2 linked regions of the Arabidopsis thaliana genome follow. The protein of the gene in region 1 interacts with the protein of each later gene in a biochemical or structural test. Each region holds a gene or a part of one and is shown on either strand. Other genes may lie near its edges.

The links.
Region 2: the proteins of ZFHD1 (region 1) and FP6 form a complex in vitro, tested with the Arabidopsis thaliana proteins (one study listed by BioGRID).

Annotation. Positions count from the first base shown.
Region 1 is NC_003070.9:26,180,328-26,184,268, reverse strand, and holds ZFHD1 (zinc finger homeodomain 1), read right to left. Parts: upstream 2,114-3,941; 5' UTR 1,800-2,113; coding exon 1,071-1,799; 3' UTR 723-1,070; downstream 1-722. UniProt on the Arabidopsis thaliana protein: Transcription factor involved in the up-regulation of several stress-inducible genes. Acts as a transcriptional activator by interacting with MED25 and NAC proteins. Involved in increased drought tolerance.
Region 2 is NC_003075.7:18,032,272-18,036,429, reverse strand, and holds FP6 (farnesylated protein 6), read right to left. Parts: upstream 2,300-4,158; 5' UTR 2,075-2,299; intron 2,068-2,074; exon of another isoform or gene 1,943-2,067; 5' UTR 1,835-1,942; coding exon 1,757-1,834; intron 1,121-1,756; coding exon 737-1,120; 3' UTR 541-736; downstream 1-540. Other genes in the region: BGAL14 (beta-galactosidase 14), read right to left, coding at 1-35, 111-314; PIS2 (Putative CDP-diacylglycerol-inositol 3-phosphatidyltransferase 2), read left to right, coding at 3,339-3,396, 3,490-3,574, 3,686-3,735, 3,938-3,977, 4,078-4,122. UniProt on the Arabidopsis thaliana protein: Heavy-metal-binding protein. Binds lead, cadmium and copper. May be involved in heavy-metal transport. May be involved in cadmium transport and play a role in cadmium detoxification.

The sequences.
Region 1 (3,941 bases):
CATCTAAAATCGATATTAGCTAGGTATTGGAATATTGTCCAATCGGAATCTTAATTAGTAGCATACAAAAAATTCAATCATCCAACCATAAACACATATACCGATCTATAATGTAAATTATTTTATCCGCCAAATGCATGTTAAACAATTTGTGTACCATATATTGATCATTAATCATTGCATGCAGTTACTCGTATCTACATAGAGCTTTTGCATACATTGATCTATCTGGCATGGATATTCGTACCGGCCTTTTGTTAAGGCTTGGGCTTCGTTACTTCGTACATACATGGTAAAATACTTTGTCTCCGGCATTGAACTTACGACCATTTATACGTGATAAAGCATTCGCTATGATTCGTTAATACATGATGAATGAAAGAAAAAAAACGAATTTTTAATATCAGTGGTGCGGGAAGAGCCAAATCATTGCACATAGTAGATATTTTAGTAATCGTAACATCTGCATTGTACTTAATTAGGATAAATAAGCAAGATTGGTGTTGCCAAAGCTTATCCCTAAATGGAAAGAGATAAGCCAGCATTTTAATAACTTTTAATCATATCATATAAATTAACAACAAAAATGTGCCGCCCAGTGACCTAATTATATTCCGCCACGCCATAGTTTGTTGCAATTCGTAATAACCACGTCGTCGTATCTTCATTAAGCAAACTTTACTTACTCTATCTCTAAAGTTCAGGAGATTTATTTCTAATAATACAGAAGATAACATTGAATAATCAGAAAGTAAACAAAGAAACGAATCTTTTGATCTCTACGATCACAATTAGCGCTTATGCACTTACTATAATTAGAAATGGTCTATCAAAATTCGTTTCAACCTCCGATTTAAAAACTTATTTATTACCAAACCCATTTGTGATCTCTGACCACATCTCTGTCAAAGTGATGAAAATAGAAAAGATCAAACCGCATAAATATTTATATCAAGATCGATTACATGTTAGAGAAAAGACACTATTATATGATTTTAAACCGGTTAATGCTCATATTTTCCCAAATTAAAGTATCCTAATTCGGTTTAACCCGAATCTTGAATCTTTCTTCAAGAAGATGAAGACCCATCACCATCATTGCTGTGAGTGTTCAGACACAGGCCATGTTCGATCTCTCTGATCTTGCCATTGAGAAGTGAGTACTTGTTGTTATGCATCCACACTTTAAGAACTCCTCTCTCAATCCCAACTTCGTTACAAAACTCTCTCACCGACTTTTCATCACATCCGTTGATTTTCCAACCAGCTTTCTCTGCGAAGGCTCTCATCTTGATCTTCTGCTCCGGCGTGAATTTGGTTCTTGTTCGTTTCCTCATTGCTCCTCTTGAACTGTTCTCTGACCTAACCACCGTTGGATCTTGATCTGACGGTCCAGGGAAACCGGAGCTGAGAGAGAGAATCACGTGATGTGGAGGAGCTGAGGTGTAGTAAGAGCAAGGAACAGGAGAAGACACGTGACGAGACGGCGGCGACTCAGTGCCGGAGGGAGAAGAAATCGGAGGCGCGGTGAGGAAGTTGAGATTCTCGGAAGGGTCACGGCGGTGGAAGTTACGGTGGCAGCCACAAGCAGCGCAACGGAGAGAAGAAGGATCGGTGGAAGTAGCCGTGGGACTCGGCATAAACTCGCCGCAACCGTCGAGAGCATGGCCGCCGAGATTAGCCGCGTGGTTTTTCAAACACTCTTTGTAACAAACACCCATTTCTCCGGTGACAGTTAGTTCTCCGGCGATGGGAAGAGAGTTTAGAAGTTGTTGTTGTGGTTTGGAAGACAAATCCATAGCTTTTGTTTAGTTCTGTCTTTATAGTGTGTTTACTTAAATCTTTTGCTTTTGTGATTAATGAGAAGATTAGGTTTTGTAGTTTTATTTTATTTATTAAAAAAGGATAATTATGTAAGTGCATGTGACGATGATGTAATTATATCGGTAAAGAACATGGCAGTGATGAAATATAATTAGGACTTGGAAAATAATAATAAGTGCTTACTCACAAACGTCCAAAACATACAGCAAAAGAAAGAAAACACTCACTGTATATCAATGAAAATTCACAACTTCTTTTTTACTTTTTTTTTTTCTTGTTTTGGTGAAACAGAGATTTTTTTGAATATTTTAGTCACTAGTTTTGATATCTATTCATACGTTATATAGACAGACTATACACTTTGAACCTGTATAAAATATTGAATCTGAGGTCTTATCAGAAAGCAATGATTTTACGGGACATTTGTAAGATATGGGTTTTCACTTTCACCAGTGGGTAACTTGTTGTGTAAAAGAAATAAAAAAGATGAATAATTTCTGAGCGTGACATAAAATTTTAATTAATCGAATATATTCGAAGGAGAGGATGGGATTAGTTGGAAGATTTGAGTCCAAAGTGTATACGTGGCAATAGCCCATTACATGCATCGTACTAAAGGACAATTACAGCTGCCCTGCAGTTTCATATTCCACTGTACATATTACAGTTTCTTATTTTTAAGAGTTTACGTTACCACCCCATACTTCTGTTAATTTCACTGTATCACCCCTGCATTTTTATACTAAAACGTTTTAATCTTTTCAATTTTGATTCTGTTTAGGGACCATTTTCTTATCTAGAGGTCTAAAATCGTAAATTTTCCTATAACGATAATCTAACTAAACAATAAAGTCAATAAAATTTCTTACTAGTATAGGTATTACGTGTTCTAGTGAAATATTTGACTTATGCTAATGTACTAATTCGTTCCAAAAGGAAAAGTGCTAAACAACTAGAAGATTTTGTAGATTACCGAAAACACCTCTAAAAGAACTTCTTTCGCACGAATACTTAATACTTGACTCAATCGTGGAGCAAAGAAGAGTTTGTTGTGACAATTGCCAAACTTCATGTTTCGTAATTAATCATGAAATTTAAATGTCTAAATTCCTTAACCACCCTTTGGAAAGACTCTTATCTCTTACCGACCTTTTATTCTCACTTCTTGTCATTAGTGTGGCGCCGAAATTTAGTGTTCTTTCGCATTTTGCTTACGTTATTGATTAGCTTTTGGGTCACAATTATGTGGTGTATGTCTTCAAGTCTTCCTCTTCTAAGTACCCCACAATTATTTTGAATCTTCATTAGCCATTTTCCATATCGATTCTTATAGGGTTTGTTTTTACAACAAATATAGTTTCTATCAAAAAAATAAAAATTGAAGGAACATTTTGTGACTAGTTATTGTTACTTTTATGATGATCCATTCATGAAAAAAATGATGAACCTTTTCTTATAAGTTACAATGTTACTACATGTGAATGTTATTGGTAAGATCAAACTGCATGGCTAATTTTGTTATTAATTATAATTACTAAGGTCTTTACTCTTTAGAATTAAAGTAACAAAACAAATCAGACATCAACATTCATTTCGTTAAGCTTTGGATACTCGTTTAATTAACTTAAAATCTTATTGAAAGGCATATAAATTATTCATTAATGTATAGTTAAGAGTCTGATCCCTGAAATGAGACTAATTAAAGCATTGTTTGCGAGGAGAATAAATGAATAACAGTTGGTGTTACGTTTTGTCGTTTATCATAAACCTAGTCACCAATCACGCTTAATTAGAATCCAATTTACAACAATCGGGAGATATTTGACCATACAATAAAAATAATTAAATAAACGTATTTATTGTTTTACTAATAATTCGTTGACAGAGACTTTGATTTAACAATTTATTTACTCGTATCACAATTAGAATCATAAAGACGGATTAGAACAATCTCCTAACGATCTTGTCAATGACCGAAATAGCACGCGCATCCCGCAAACCGGCCACTAAGGTTGGAGAAAAAGTCATTTGTAGCCGAAATTTTAAATGTCATATGATCATGGGGTCATTTTTGCGTAACGTTTCTATCTATGTATATACCTATTGAATAAGTAGGT
Region 2 (4,158 bases), on another chromosome or scaffold:
CCAATTCTAGCTTTGTCAATGATACTGGGCCACATCTGCAACAAAACCAGAATCCGATCCATGAAGTGAAATCATCTTTTTGATTGGGTAATAATAAAAACAGAGTAGACGTGCTTACGTGAGGTGTGCTTCGAGGGTAATGAACAGAACCAGAGAAAAGAAGCTCTCTTTTTCCATTTATGATCAATGAAGTTCCGCTCAGAACCGTCGTATGTTACTCCTTTCTTCTTTTTCTCATCATCATGGCTGCTTGCCTTGGAACAGAGCGAAATTACAAGTAGAATCGCTATCAAGTATCGTGTTCTCGACTTCATCCTAATTCTACTTGATTTGCTCATCGATAAACACTTTGATACATAAATGTTACAACTTGTATTATATTGTTCCCTTGTTTTAAGGATGTCCTAGGTTAAAGAGGGAAGCTCGGAACCCTTGTTTCAACTACTCTCTCTATTTTAATTTAATGGTTTTCTTAACTACAACTTGATCCGCATTTGAAGCTTTCTTCACAATTACAAACCATAAATGAAAATAATTTAATTTTGGGTAGAAATATTTATTAACATTAAAAGTCTTTGGAAGAAAGGGAAAAACACATATTGCAATCATAAAGTGTAAGGAATACAGACCAAGGAACTAAAACCAAAACAAGAAACCTACCGTTATGGTATTAATGTACAAAACAAGACATTAAATTAAGCCATAACAAATTGAAACAGTAGTAGTCCATATGACATCACATGACCACACAAGCCGCCGGGTTCTCGTCGCTAAATGCAGTGGTGTAGCGGACCTCGGTGGAGCTAGCACGAGCCAGCTGCGACACTCCGGGGTCGTCGACTCTTCGGACATAACCGGAGGGTGCCTTCTTGTCGTAGACACCGGCAGCGTAAGGATGAGCGACCACGTCGTAGGGCACATATGGCCAGAGCTCGACTTTCTTGCCGGTCCTGTGAGACATTCGAGCCACCACCTTGTTGGGATCGACGTAGCCGACTACAGTGACTTTATGGGCTTTGGGCTCCAACGTCACAGAAGACACACCCTTCATGCCTTCGACAGAACGCCGCACTTTCCGCTCGCAACCTTCGCAGTCCATTTTCACTTTAATCTCCACCGTCTATCCTCATCAAGCAGTCGACACAAAACGACAAAATTAGCCTACTTTAAAAATATCTAAGAAGAATAGTAAATGTCCACAATTGAAAGACTTTAACCATATCATCATGACTAGTGAGAAAAATTAACGTGGTTGGTTTCCCCGGAAATTAATGATTTTATATAGTATTCCTGACAGCGAGAAGAATACAAATCCCGGTGTAAAATCTAACAGATGGCTGTATCAACTTATATTTCAGATTAAAAGAATCTATTCGGTCGGCGTTAGGAAGGAACATTAACTCAAAACAAAAACTGCTTCAAATAAAATCCCACTTATATCATGTAACAATTTGGATATACTTCTTCAGATAAAAAAACACAGAGATATTAAAAAAGATCTGAAGTAAGAAAGGTAACACAAATTAGCCAGCCAAAACCACAATAATAAACTTGCTAATGGCAGTCTATTTATGGAACTATAATATACGAGATCTACTAAGTAACACTCAAACTTTCCTAGTAACCATCGAAGCTAGTTTCTACTAGACTCATTCATCATAACTTTTCAACGAATTATTATGTTTGTTTTTTTGCAAACCAAGATCTAAGTTATCAGCTGAATCTGCTAAGATAAGAAAAGGAAGAGGGAAAGTACCTGCAACTGTTTGCGCTTTTTAATCTTGTGACCATGAGAGCAGTCAAACATTTCAGAGACATGATCAAGAACACCCATTTCTTCTTCTTTTTATTCCAGAAAAGGAAAAACCTGAAGAACCCAGGAGAGTTAAGAACTTTCTTTAGGAGGAGGAGGAGGAGAGAGTAGTAGAGCAGAGAGTGAAATCTGTAAAAAAGAGGGGCAAAAGGGAAAGTGGAGGTGTAAAGAAGTAAATGATGAATTGGGAGAATATATATAGGCATTATTGTAATAAGTAATACAGTATGTATCTAATTAAGTGAATGATGGATGGGTCACCTTTCTTTTCTGGTCCCAGCAGTTTCCTAGTCGCCGTCTCGATTCTTCTCTTCTTGCTAACGGTTTCCTAATTTCTAGTTTTTTTTTTTCGGTTTCTTTTTTGGATTGGCTTAAAACATTTCTTCATTCCAATTCCATGAATGAAAAAAAAAAGAGTTGTAATTTGTAAGAAAAAAATAAAATTACAATGGATAATAAAATTTTCTGTTTTGATGATGACTGAGACTGATCTTGGGACAAGAGTCGTGCGTTAGATTTTCTGCTGCTTTACTTTTTTTTTTGTTTAATAAATAATAATAAAAAAAATATATTCTTGGTGCATGGGAAGAAAGTAAAGAGAGGAGTTATTGTTTTTGGATAATCGATGATGACTCGCAAAGTCACACCGACGTACCGACCTTGATGACCAGATTTGTTTATTTTATGAAGCCCACTCCAAAATTTGGTCTAGGCTTTCTAATGGATTTTTCTGAGGCCCACTTACTTACCATTTTATATTTTTGGCGATTTTTTGACAAAAATCAACCGAGTTTTAATTCCATTTAGATTTGCAAGACTTGCAAGTAGAACCATCTGGATATCTGGACCCCCATGGGATTCAAGTTCATATATCCGAAAATCCCATCATCAATTATAGTCTTAAGCGATGAAGATACAAAGGTTTGTGGAAATTAGTAATGAGTGAGTAATGACTAATGACACAATCCGAATTCAGCAGTAAATAAAGTGTGCGTGGAAGAAGAAGAAAATTAACGATATATGCGTGTATGTATTGTTTGCAAATAAAATATGCAAATTTTCAGTGTTGAAGCGGCGAAACCGAGAAAAGTTTTACAAATAATTTAACAAATGTTAGTACTGTATTTCACAAATTGAATTTGAGAATATTAAACGAAAAAACGTTTTTGCTTGAGAGAGAGGCGAATCTGATTCTTGTGAGAGCTTCCAACAAAGTCTGCAGGCTCATCCTGCGGATCCCTTCGTTCCCAATTTCTCTTAGGCAGGTGAGAAATATTTAATTTCCCCATACTTACTTTGAGATTTGATATTTCCAGTTGCGTCTGAAAATCGATTGACCTACTTTGTTTGTGTGTGTGTGTTCACGTATTTACCGGATTTGGGGTTCCTCTGTCCGTACGCATTTTCCCACAAAGTTTGTTCCTTTTTTCTTTCTAATCTCGTGTAGGTATCCCTTCATTGGCGAGATCCTTGTTTTCTTCGTTGGGGAACAGATTGCCCAAACTGAAGTCTCTCTCTCTCTGTTATGGCTAAACAGAGACCGGCGACGTTGTCAGTCTACCTCTACATTCCCAATATCGTTGGTCGGTTTTTTGCTACTTCCTTTCTTCTGTCTTTAAAAATTTCATTTTTTTTAAACCATATGAGATTAGTGTTGTTACATGCAAAATTGGCAGGGTACATGAGAGTTCTCTTGAACTGCATTGCCTTCTCTGTGTGCTTCTCCAACAAGACACTCTTCTCCCTCTTGTACTTTTTCAGGTGACTTTATCCTTGTGGTACCAACATCATGTTCTTCTCCTTTTTTGATCTTGTGTGTTTGGTGCTTCTTCTTTCATATGTTAGTCACTCTTTACCCAATCTTGTTTCCAGTTTTTGTTGTGATGCTGTGGATGGATGGTGCGCTCGTAAATTTAACCAAGGTGCTCTTTTCATTCTCCCCATCTCTTTTCTTAGCTTCAACTAACTCATTACTTATGCTTCCTCTATGATCCTGACATTGATTAAATATGACATTTCATGTCATTGTCTCATTGATCAATATTTTTAGTCCCATACACAGTTTATTCTTGTTCTACATTATCAGAAACGATTGAACGTAACACACAACTCTTTTCCTTTCAGTCTCTACATTTGGAGCTGTTTTGGATATGGTTACAGATAGGTGAATCTTCCGCTACATATTCCCGAGTTTCAACTTGCTCATTCTTTTAATCTCATTTAACATTTTTGTCATATATTTTGGGGTCTGCGCATGGTTACAGAGTCAGCACAGCCTGTCTTCTCGTGATTCTCTCCCAGATATACAGGTGTCAGTGTTCTCTACTTCTTTACACTGACATCTC